Linked DNA regions of Rattus norvegicus. The protein of the gene in region 2 purifies or fractionates together with the protein of the main gene of each other region. This does not show direct contact. Links are inferred from orthologs where the notes say so. Each region holds a gene or a part of one and is shown on either strand. Other genes may lie near its edges. The genes, in order: Supt5h, Rngtt and Ppp4r3a.

Evidence for each region.
Region 1: the proteins of Rngtt (region 2) and Supt5h purify together in Homo sapiens (affinity purification with mass spectrometry; 3 studies listed by BioGRID and IntAct, with this or other methods). This does not show direct contact. The link is inferred for Rattus norvegicus from reciprocal best matches to the Homo sapiens genes RNGTT and SUPT5H.
Region 3: the proteins of Rngtt (region 2) and Ppp4r3a purify together in Homo sapiens (affinity purification with mass spectrometry; 3 studies listed by BioGRID and IntAct, with this or other methods). This does not show direct contact. The link is inferred for Rattus norvegicus from reciprocal best matches to the Homo sapiens genes RNGTT and PPP4R3A.

The regions. Positions count from the first base shown.
Region 1 is NC_086019.1:92,734,408-92,738,064, forward strand, and holds part of Supt5h (transcription elongation factor SPT5), read right to left. Parts: intron 598-3,657; coding exon 435-597; intron 1-434. UniProt on the Homo sapiens protein: Component of the DRB sensitivity-inducing factor complex (DSIF complex), which regulates mRNA processing and transcription elongation by RNA polymerase II.
Region 2 is NC_086023.1:52,523,828-52,527,484, reverse strand, and holds part of Rngtt (mRNA-capping enzyme), read right to left. Parts: intron 2,640-3,657; coding exon 2,564-2,639; intron 1,501-2,563; coding exon 1,260-1,500; intron 1-1,259.
Region 3 is NC_086024.1:126,033,838-126,036,285, forward strand, and holds part of Ppp4r3a (serine/threonine-protein phosphatase 4 regulatory subunit 3A), read right to left. Parts: intron 1,353-2,448; coding exon 1,162-1,352; intron 762-1,161; coding exon 535-761; intron 1-534. UniProt on the Homo sapiens protein: Regulatory subunit of serine/threonine-protein phosphatase 4. May regulate the activity of PPP4C at centrosomal microtubule organizing centers.

The DNA.
Region 1 (3,657 bases), on a different chromosome or scaffold from region 2:
TTTCTGATGTGTCTGAAGAGAGTGACAGGGTACTCACTTATATAAAATAAATAAAATCTTTAAAAAAGAAAAGAAAACTGCAAGTCCAAGGCCAGCCTAAGCAAACTAGCCAGACCTTGTCTCAGAATAAAAAGTAAAAGAGGGCTAGAGGATGGCTCAATGGAATAACATGTGCCTAGGTGTGGGGGATGTGGCTCCACAAGTCATTAGTCGGCACAGTCAATCCCCACACTTCCTTTCTTTTTTCTCAACATGCCTCCTCCAACTCCCGAATGTGGAGATTAAAGGTGTGGGCCACCATTGCCAGGTAATCCCCACATCTTCATGTGAATGTACATGTGTACACATGTATGCACGCGCGCGCGCACACATACACACCCCTGAACCACAGACTGTCTTATGCACTCTTTAAGCTTCCTGGCTCTGTGACATACCAGCCTCATCTAAAATGAAGCCCCCATGGCGTGGTTTCTTGGGAGGCCGGTCATCATCCTCCTCCTCCTCCTCCTCATCGTATTCCTCCTCTTCCTCCTCCTCCTCTTCCTCGGGCTCCTCTTCTTTTTCACTGCCTGCGGCACTTCGCCGGTCTTCCTCTACCTACAGGATCAGAGTTGAGGCACCAGGATTTTACTATCCCCAAACCCAGAAAAAAACCTCATCTATCTCTGTCTCTGTGTCTCACACGCATGTCCACAATGCCCTCAAAGTCCCGACCTGACCAGGCCTCTGATCTGTCCTAATTCAAGTGACAGTAGAACCAAGACCCAGCCACTCAACCAACCCCTGGGAGCCAATCCTTTCACTGGATCCCTTACTCTGAGAGCCATTGCATACCAGGTATTTATGGCTTGTTGCTCTTCTCTGTGCTTCCTGAAAAGTCCAGCTCCTAACTCTGGGATCTGTTCCAGGTGTCTGATACTCAACAATGGATGTCCCTGGTGCTAACCCCTTACATTTCCTTTTTTTTTTTTTTTCCGGAGCTGGGGACCGAACCCAGGGCCTTGCACTTGCAAGCACTCTACCACTGAGCTAAATCCCCAACCCCCCCCCCCTTACATTTCCTAACACTAAGGGTCAACATAGCTGCTACTTCCCCTAGGCTCCAATCACTCCACTTGGGGGGGGGGGGGGGATCGAGAGCGAGAACGCGAGAGTGAGCACAAGAGCATGTGGTGGAGGTGTCATTCAGTAATGCAGACCCCCTTGGAACTCACTATGTAGCCTAGGTTGGCCCATGAATGTGTGTATGGCATCCTCCTGTCTGTTTCCCAAGCACTAGAGTATAGGTGTAAACCACATTCACAGTTTCCATTCATCCCTTAAAAGCAGCTTCAGACAGACCTTCCATGTCTCTCCCTAGGGCCATGTTGCTCCATCCTCCCACGCCTCTCTCATTGAGCCATTACCATCCAAGACCTCAACTCCCGTCTCTGCTGCTGATGCTTCTATTCTCCACTATTTTCCAGAAACAGAGCCTACCCCACATGCCACAGCCTCTGGGTCTGCCAGGCCTATACTCCCCTGGATTCTAATCCTTGTTTCTTACTAGTTACAAACAGATCCACAAATTCTGATGCTCAAGGATCAGCCTTTAACTCACCAGCTCAAGGCTCCTTCCTTCTTCACAGTGCTATAACCTATTCACCCAGTATCTCTCTATGTTGTTTTTATTCTAATTCTGCTTATTATATGTATTTGCACATGTGCATGTGCTCAGCCTATGTAAGTAAGTGCCAGCTGTGTGCAGGGGCCCTCAGCAGGTATGGGGTCCACTGGAGCCAGAGTTACAGACAGCTGTAAGCCACATGACCTGGACACTGAGAACCAGAGCCAGGTCTCTGGATGAGCAAGTGCTGTTAACTATAATGAAAGCTTGGCTTCTTTAAAAACCCAGTTACAATACATGAATGTTTTTTATTTAATCTCAGGTGTGAGATACAGGGCACTTCAGTTTGCCCATAGCTATTAACTATGATTGTCTCACTCTCCAAGATGGGCATCATTTTGCCAGCTGCACACACTTTAATTCTGGGGTCTCTGGAGAGAGAATAAATCCCAGAGCCCCAAGAGGCTGCTGCTCCTGGTGGCTGTTGTTGCAGTTTGACAAGAAGTTGGAGATATTCAGATGAAAGATTAAAGTGGCCCCAAGAAACACTGTCCCCAATCAGCAGGAAGTCCTGTAAAGAGGTCCACGCCCCCTTTCCCTGCTAACCTTTCCTTCCTACCTAGTGTTGGGGGCTGGGAGTGGAGTAAGGGTGGGAAGAGAGGAAGAAGTGCAAGAACTAATAAAGCAGAACTAGAACTTCAAAACTGCTCTTGACCTTGGTCAAGGGAGCGCCTTTTTGTTTTTGATCTACTCCATTTTATGTGAATAACTGTTTTACCTACACGTCATCTGTGCACCTCATGCATACCTGGTGACCAGAAAAAGCCATCAGATAAATCCCCAGGAATTAAGAGTTAAGGATAGTTTTGAACTGGTGCAGCGAACTGAACCAGGCCCTCATTTGAAGAGCACCAAATGCTCTTAACCACTGAGCCATCTCTCTAGCCCAAGGAAGATTTTTTTTTGTTTTGTTTTGTTTTGTTTTGCAGTGGACAGTGCTTAATGCAGACTCATAACTGGTCTAAGTGGCAAGAATAAGTGTACAGGGCTCGTGGTAGAAAGAATGTAAAAGCCAGAGGACAGGGGTGTTAGTATGCCGTCTTTTGTTTTTTTGGGCTTTTTTTTTTTTTTTTTTTTTTTTGTGCACTGTGTAGACTGTCCTTGTATTCAAATGCTGATTTCTGTGCAGATGGAGGTCTGGTTACAGGCTGGACTTGGGTACTGCCCTTACGATGACGCATATCCGGTTCTAGTATTTTTTTTTTTTTTTTTGGTTCTTTTTTTTTTCGGAGCTGGGGACCGAACCCAGGGCCTTGCGCTTCCTAGGCAAGCGCTCTACCACTGAGCTAAATCCCCAACCCCCTCAGTCACCTTCTGATTGGCAAATAAGAGCTGAATTGTCTATAGCTGGGCTGGACACAGGGTCCCAGGTGGGAATCTGAGACCAGAGCACCACTAGCCGGCAGGACAAGGATAAAGAAGCAGGTGCCAGCCCCAGACTAAGATGGACAGGTACTGGGCCACATGGAGGGATATAGGCCAGGCCAGTTCTGTCAGGTTAGAATACCTGAGAATCTGCCCGGCTATAGTGCCCAAATAAGTCTCAACTCAGAGCAAGAGCAGGCATAAACCCTTACAGCTACATAGGAGGGCTGTGAAACATTGTCTTCAAGATCCAATGAGCCTACTGAACTCATAGACTCATAGCAGCTTGCTCAACGGGGAGGGGCTCGTGACACCAGCTGAGGAGCTACTAGCAACTAATGCAGGCTGGGAGAGCAGGGGTAATTCTTTCTCAGCGGTGAGGCCACTAGGAGGGTGTCTATGCTCATGAAGGCAGCACTACTGGATTCAGTGGATTTAAAAGATCACAGGCTGGAGATAAGAGCACTGGCATAAGAGCAGATTAAAAGCACTGGCTGGGGGCTGGAGAGATGGCTCAGTGGTTAAGAGCACTGACTGCTCTTCCAGAGGTCATGAGTTCAATTCCCAGCAACCACATGGTGGCTCACAACCATCTGTAATGAGATCTGGTGCCCTCTTCTGGCCTG
Region 2 (3,657 bases):
TTATTAACACTAAACATATTTAGTAGTTTATAAACTAATCTCAATATAGCATCTAAGAGTTCTTTGATTTACATAAGAAACAGAACCAGAATGAAATTTCATAACTCCAGCCCTTTTAAGACTGCTGGGCTGCAAGGTGGTTAAGTGTTGCCAAGCCTGACAACTTGAGGTTGGAAGGAACGAGTCACACAAGTTGTCCTTTCACTCCCACCATGATATGCAAAGCCCCTCCACCCAAAGAATAAATAATTTTGTAAGACAAAATTTTAAGTTCCATTTCTAGCTAAAGTTTAACAGTGAGACATAGTGAGACAGGCTATCCCTATCTCAGCATCAGAGGCCCTGACAGGATGACTGGAGATTTGAGACCAGCCTGGGTCTCACAGTGAGATCCCACCACACCTGCCTTATGCTGTTACTTAGTGGGTTTAAGGTAGAATCAAAATTTCATAAAATCAGAAGACATTATTATGTTCTTCAACACACACACACACACACACACACACACACACACACACACATACATATATATATATAATATATATATATTATATATATATAGAGAGAGAGAGAGACAGACAGACAGACAGACAGACATGACAGAAATATAGCCTGTGGCAGTTTGAATATGCTTGGCATAGGGAGTGGCACTATTAGGAGGTGTGTCCTTGTTGGACTAGGTGTGGCTTTGTTGAAGGAAGTGCGTCACTGTGGAGGTGGGCTTTGGGACCTTCCTCCTAGCCATCTGGAAGACAGTCTGCTCCAGGCTTCCTTTGGGTGAAGAAGTATAAATCTGCTTCTCCAGTACCATGCCTGTCTGGACGTTGGTTGCTGTGTTTCCTGCCATGATGATAATGGCCTGAACCACTGAACCTGTAGGCCAGCCCCAAGTAAATGTTGTCCTTTATAAGAGTTGCCTTGGTCATAGTGTCTCTTCACAGCAATTGAAACCCTAATACAGAGCCAATATCCTACAATAAGTTTAAACAGAAATACAGAGCAGTATGGTATTTGGGAGCCACCATGGTGGCTCAGCAGATAAGGGCACTTATAGTTTGCCTGACAACCTGACTTTGACCCTCAGGATCCAAACACACATAGTAAGAAAAGAGAACTGACTCCTACAAGTTGTCCTCTGACTTCCACAAGCATGCTGTGCCATTCCCACACCAAGGTATTTAAACATGCACACCCACAAAATAAGTAAATAAATGTAATTTAAAAGAATAAAAGAGTATTACAGTATTTGTGAACATTACCAGTTTTAAGCGCTCTTTTCTCCTTTTCCCAAAGGAAGCACTGGACCCTGGTTCTGAGTCCTTTTTTCCATCCTCATCCTCGTCTTCTTCATCATCATCTTCAAAACACCAATCTGGCAATACAGGTGGTGGTGGTGCTTCTTCTATATCTCCATAGCGACGAAAAAGTTCCTTCAAATAATCACCCTTATAGATTCCTGGTGGTCTGGCTTGGGCAAAAGTAGCAACTGCTGCTTCAATGCTATGGAAACAATTATTTTCCCACTAGTATCCATTTAATGTAGACTTATCAATTATTAAATCATACTCAAGGTACCACAAAAAGTATAACTGGATTATATAACAGACAAATATAAGTCTGTCTTCACCTGCAAAGCTTTCAGTCAATGATAAACTAATTCTAAAAACACATACCCATAGTACACTGTAACATATGGTACACATATATCGTCTACATGGCCCACTATAATATATGGTCACTATAATACATGGTACATTCTAATATATTATATACTATCATATTTAAAGCACATTGACATGACTGCTTATGACAGACATGGCTAGCCAATGAAAGAAATTAATAGAATACTGAAGGTCAAGGTCTCTAAAAGAAAACTTGGGTCAAGAAAATGTGAATGGCAAGTGAACATACACAATGTTCATCAGAAACCACCAATAGCCCTAGGCCCCAAGATTACACATCTTGGAAGAACACTAGCCACTGGCCGGATCTGGCAAAGGAGTCTGATGCTACTGTGCACAGTACTCTGAAAGGCCAAAGCTGAAAAGTACACAACGTAGACAGCCATTGAGTATAAAAGAACAGAACACATTCAGATTAGTGTTTGCCTGACTGCATTCCAAAAAAGGACCTAATGTGTAAAAGGTTTTAGAAACATAAACAATGATCCTAGAACAGGAATAAGAAAATTCCGTTAGCAGTATCCTAGTCTCATAGGAATTTCAAGTAATTGGAATCTAATCCTTTAAAATCTGAAAATATAATTCACAAATAACAAGCTCAATAAAGACGAGACTTGTTTAAATAGATTAATGCCATCCTAAAACGCTTCCTTCATAGAGCATTATAGCTTTCCCTAGTTCTTCTCAGCCAGAGAAGAGAAACTTTAAAGGAAAACAGACCTTTCCAAAGCTGATTACAAATCCAAACATCTGAGATCCAATCTCTGTTAACTCCAAAATACGAGAAAAATATGAAAAGGAAATATATCATCTACAGGATTCATAAGCATCACAAATTGTTCATGTATCTTCTTCCACTATAACAACACTATTTAATATACCTCCAATCCATTTTTTCCACCAAAAAGGCACATATAAGGAAACCAGTGCGGTTGAAGCCATGGGTGCAGTGAACACCTAGGAGAGAAAGTAGCTTCGTGTTAAACTCAATCACTTCAAATGCCACAGAGTTTTAAAATGACAAATTTACTTTAAAATATTTCAGTTTATTTAAGTACACTACATATTCATACATTTTAAAAACTCAAAATATTCCTTATAACTTAATAGTTTGTCAATTTAGATTGCTTAGAGTGTAACAGAGCACTAGACAGAAATCTAAAAATACACTGGTGTATTAGTTTAAACTCTCTACTGTCTAAATTTGTCATTAAAATTTTTCAAGATTTTGAGTTTCAAACACACAACTCAGAAAGGAAGGGCACAAAAATACAAGACAACTATATTCCAGATATTCCAGAAACATTGGTGTAGTTTCCCAAGCTTTCTTTATGATCAATGTGAAATACAGTCAAACTACATTGGAAAAGAAAGTCTAAACCAGACTGGGGGGAAAATGTGTATAAAATCAACTGAGGACTGACAACGGTTGACTGTAGTCAACTAAGTGTGGGAGTCTGAACGAAACTGGCCCCACATGCTCACAGGAGAGGCATTATTTAAAAGGATGAAGAGGTGTGGCCTTGTTGGAGAAAGTGTGTCACTAGCATGGCCTTTCAGGTTTCAGAAAATCAAGCAGGTCCAGAGTCCTCTCTGTTGCCTATGGGTCCAGATGTAGAACTCTCAGCTACCTGTCCAGCACCATGTCTGCCTGCATGCTGCCATGCTTGTCAACAAGACAATGATCACTAAACCACTGAACCTGAAAGTCAGCCCCAATTGAGTGTTTTCCTTTGTAATAGAGTCGCCATGGTCGTGGTGTCTCTTCACATCAACAGAACACTAAGACGGCTGCAGATAACTGATTGACTAATGGGTGTACACTATTTTGAAAGAGCTTTAGAAACCAACTGAGTCTACCTTCACATGGGGCTTATACTATTTTAAAATAAATATTTATAAGAAAGAAACATGGAAAACAAATTTATTTTTCCTAAACCCTCTTTCAGAATATATTCAAGATCATTTTTCTGAG
Region 3 (2,448 bases), on a different chromosome or scaffold from region 2:
CAGTACAACTTGAATGACTATGAAAATTCCTATCACTCTGCCTATGCCTTTACCTCAACAATGTTAGACTCAGCCTTACTTCTGAGGGATCTCCTACCTGTGTCAGATGAAATCAGACTGTGGGGCAAGCAAGATAGCACAGTACTTTCTATCAAGCCTAATGACCTAAGCTTGATCTTAGAGACACACACGACAGAAGGAGAACTGACCTCCTCCACACGTGCTTTGATGTGTTCACACATATAAACAGAAACAACTGCTCCCCCTCCCAAATTTTCACCTGGGTTCTAACTGGGAAAGGTAAAGAAGAACCTGTAGTTTATGAATTAAAAAAATACCAAAGGCAGACTATTGATTTGCACTGGACACATAAGTTTAGGGAGTGGTTGTGATGAGGTCTCACCTTCCAGTTCACAACATTTAGCTAATTCCAGAAAAGAAAACCAAAGAGAGAATCCAGGCATAAAGACTGCTGAGCAAGCGTAAAGCATGGTAGGAAAGGCAGCATGTGCGGACTCCCAAGTATGTGTGTACCTTTGTGGTAATAGCTGCCGGCTGAGATGTACTCTTAGGGACGGATCCAGGAGAGCCAGGAGAGCCTGGGGACCCAGGTGATCCTGGAGAACCAGGCAGGCTTGTGGCGGATGACTGGCTGGTGAGGTTAGTCTTTGTCCCACTGGACAAGGAAAGTTTGAAACTCGGGCTCTGTCGTCCAGAAAGATTAGTTTTCAGAAGCACCTCCTTTTCTTCACTCTCTTTCACTAAAAACGAGAATGTAGAATACCTGTCACTCACTTCTTTTCCTTAATTCCTCCAAATGAAGTGACACCAAGACACTGGTACCAGCTTCTTTCTTTGCTGAGGACAACCCTGCATGAAGCCCAACCTATGAACAAAGCCTATCCAAGTAACAACACATTATCTAGCAAGTATCACAATGCAGAAGTATGATCTTCAGTATTACACTTAGTATCCATAACCTCCACACCATCTTCCTTACATTAGGAAACTCAGCCGACACCTCGACACAGTCAGCAATTCAGCCGCACCCTGTGAGCCTTTGACTTATCATATATTCACAGTAGCCACTAATCATTTTCTCAAGAAATGAAGGACCAGGGCTGAGAGCCTCAGTTTCCCTTGCCCTTTGTTTCAACATACATTTCTTCCTTTCCATAAATTTACTTATTGGATCCATAATATCGTCATCATTCTTGGTTTTGTCAGATGGAGACACCACAGCTTCTCCGTCTTCCATGTCATCTTCATCTGTGTTGAACCACATCTCTTCTTCATCTTCTAGTGTCCTGGCATCTCGTCGGTATCGATGATTCCTCAAGATGGACCGCATGCTATGAGAAAATGGAAGACTGTAAGGGCTGAGGTACTGCTTAAACAATATCCTGGGCCTGATCACTGGCACCACTATAAGCAAATGCCAAACCACACTCAAACAAATACATAATTAAAAGACGGACCCTATCAAATGTAATATAAACTACTAGAATCAAACTCCCTATTTCCAAAATGGTAACTGTTCTAGATCAATGTACGGATTCCCCCCCCCCCCCCCCCCGAGCTGGGGACCGAACCCAGGGCCTTGTGCCAAATCCCCAACCTCAGAATGTACAGATTTTTGAACCATACTACAGAGGCTAGAGATGGCACAGTAGTTAGGACCTGGATTCAACTCCTAGCACCCAACAGCAGTTCACAATTATTTGTATCTCTAGTTCCAGGGAATCCAGCACACTCTTCTGTTCTCTGTGGTTGTCAGGCATGCCCCTGGTGCACAGACATAAGACATACTTGCAGATCTCTCTCCTCTCTCTTCCCTCCCTCCCCATCTCCCTTGGGAAAACCAACCCAAACTGCAAATATGAATCTAGTTATTTAAGAAGGTATGTGGTATTTTAAATAATCTATACGTAAGATAATATTAAATATGGAGCCTTACTACTATTATCAGTTTATGTTGGTGTCTGAAGATCTTACTATAATTTATCTATACTTTCAGAAACAAAACCAGCATGGGCATCAGCAAGACGGTGTAAAGAGTAAAGGCGCAGGGTTGGGGATTTGGCTCACGGTGTAAAGAGTAAAGGCGCGGGGTTGGGGATTTGGCTCAGTGGTAGAGCGTTTACCTAGGAAGCGCAAGGTCCTGGGTTCGGTCCCCAGCCCCAGAAAAAAAAAAAAAAATAAGAGTAAAGGCTCGTCCTGCCAAGTATGACAAACCTGAGCTTGAGCCCAGAACCACACGGCAGAAGGAGACAACCCGTTCCTGCTCTCAGTCCTGAGGCTACAGCACCAACACAGTGTACTTGTATGTGAACACAGACACAAAAAATAAAAAATGTTGAAGAAAAAAAAAAAAAAAAAAGGCAATGACAACTCCATTTCCCACAGTTTCTCTGCATGCCTTCCCACCTTCTCTCTGCCCGGCAACTC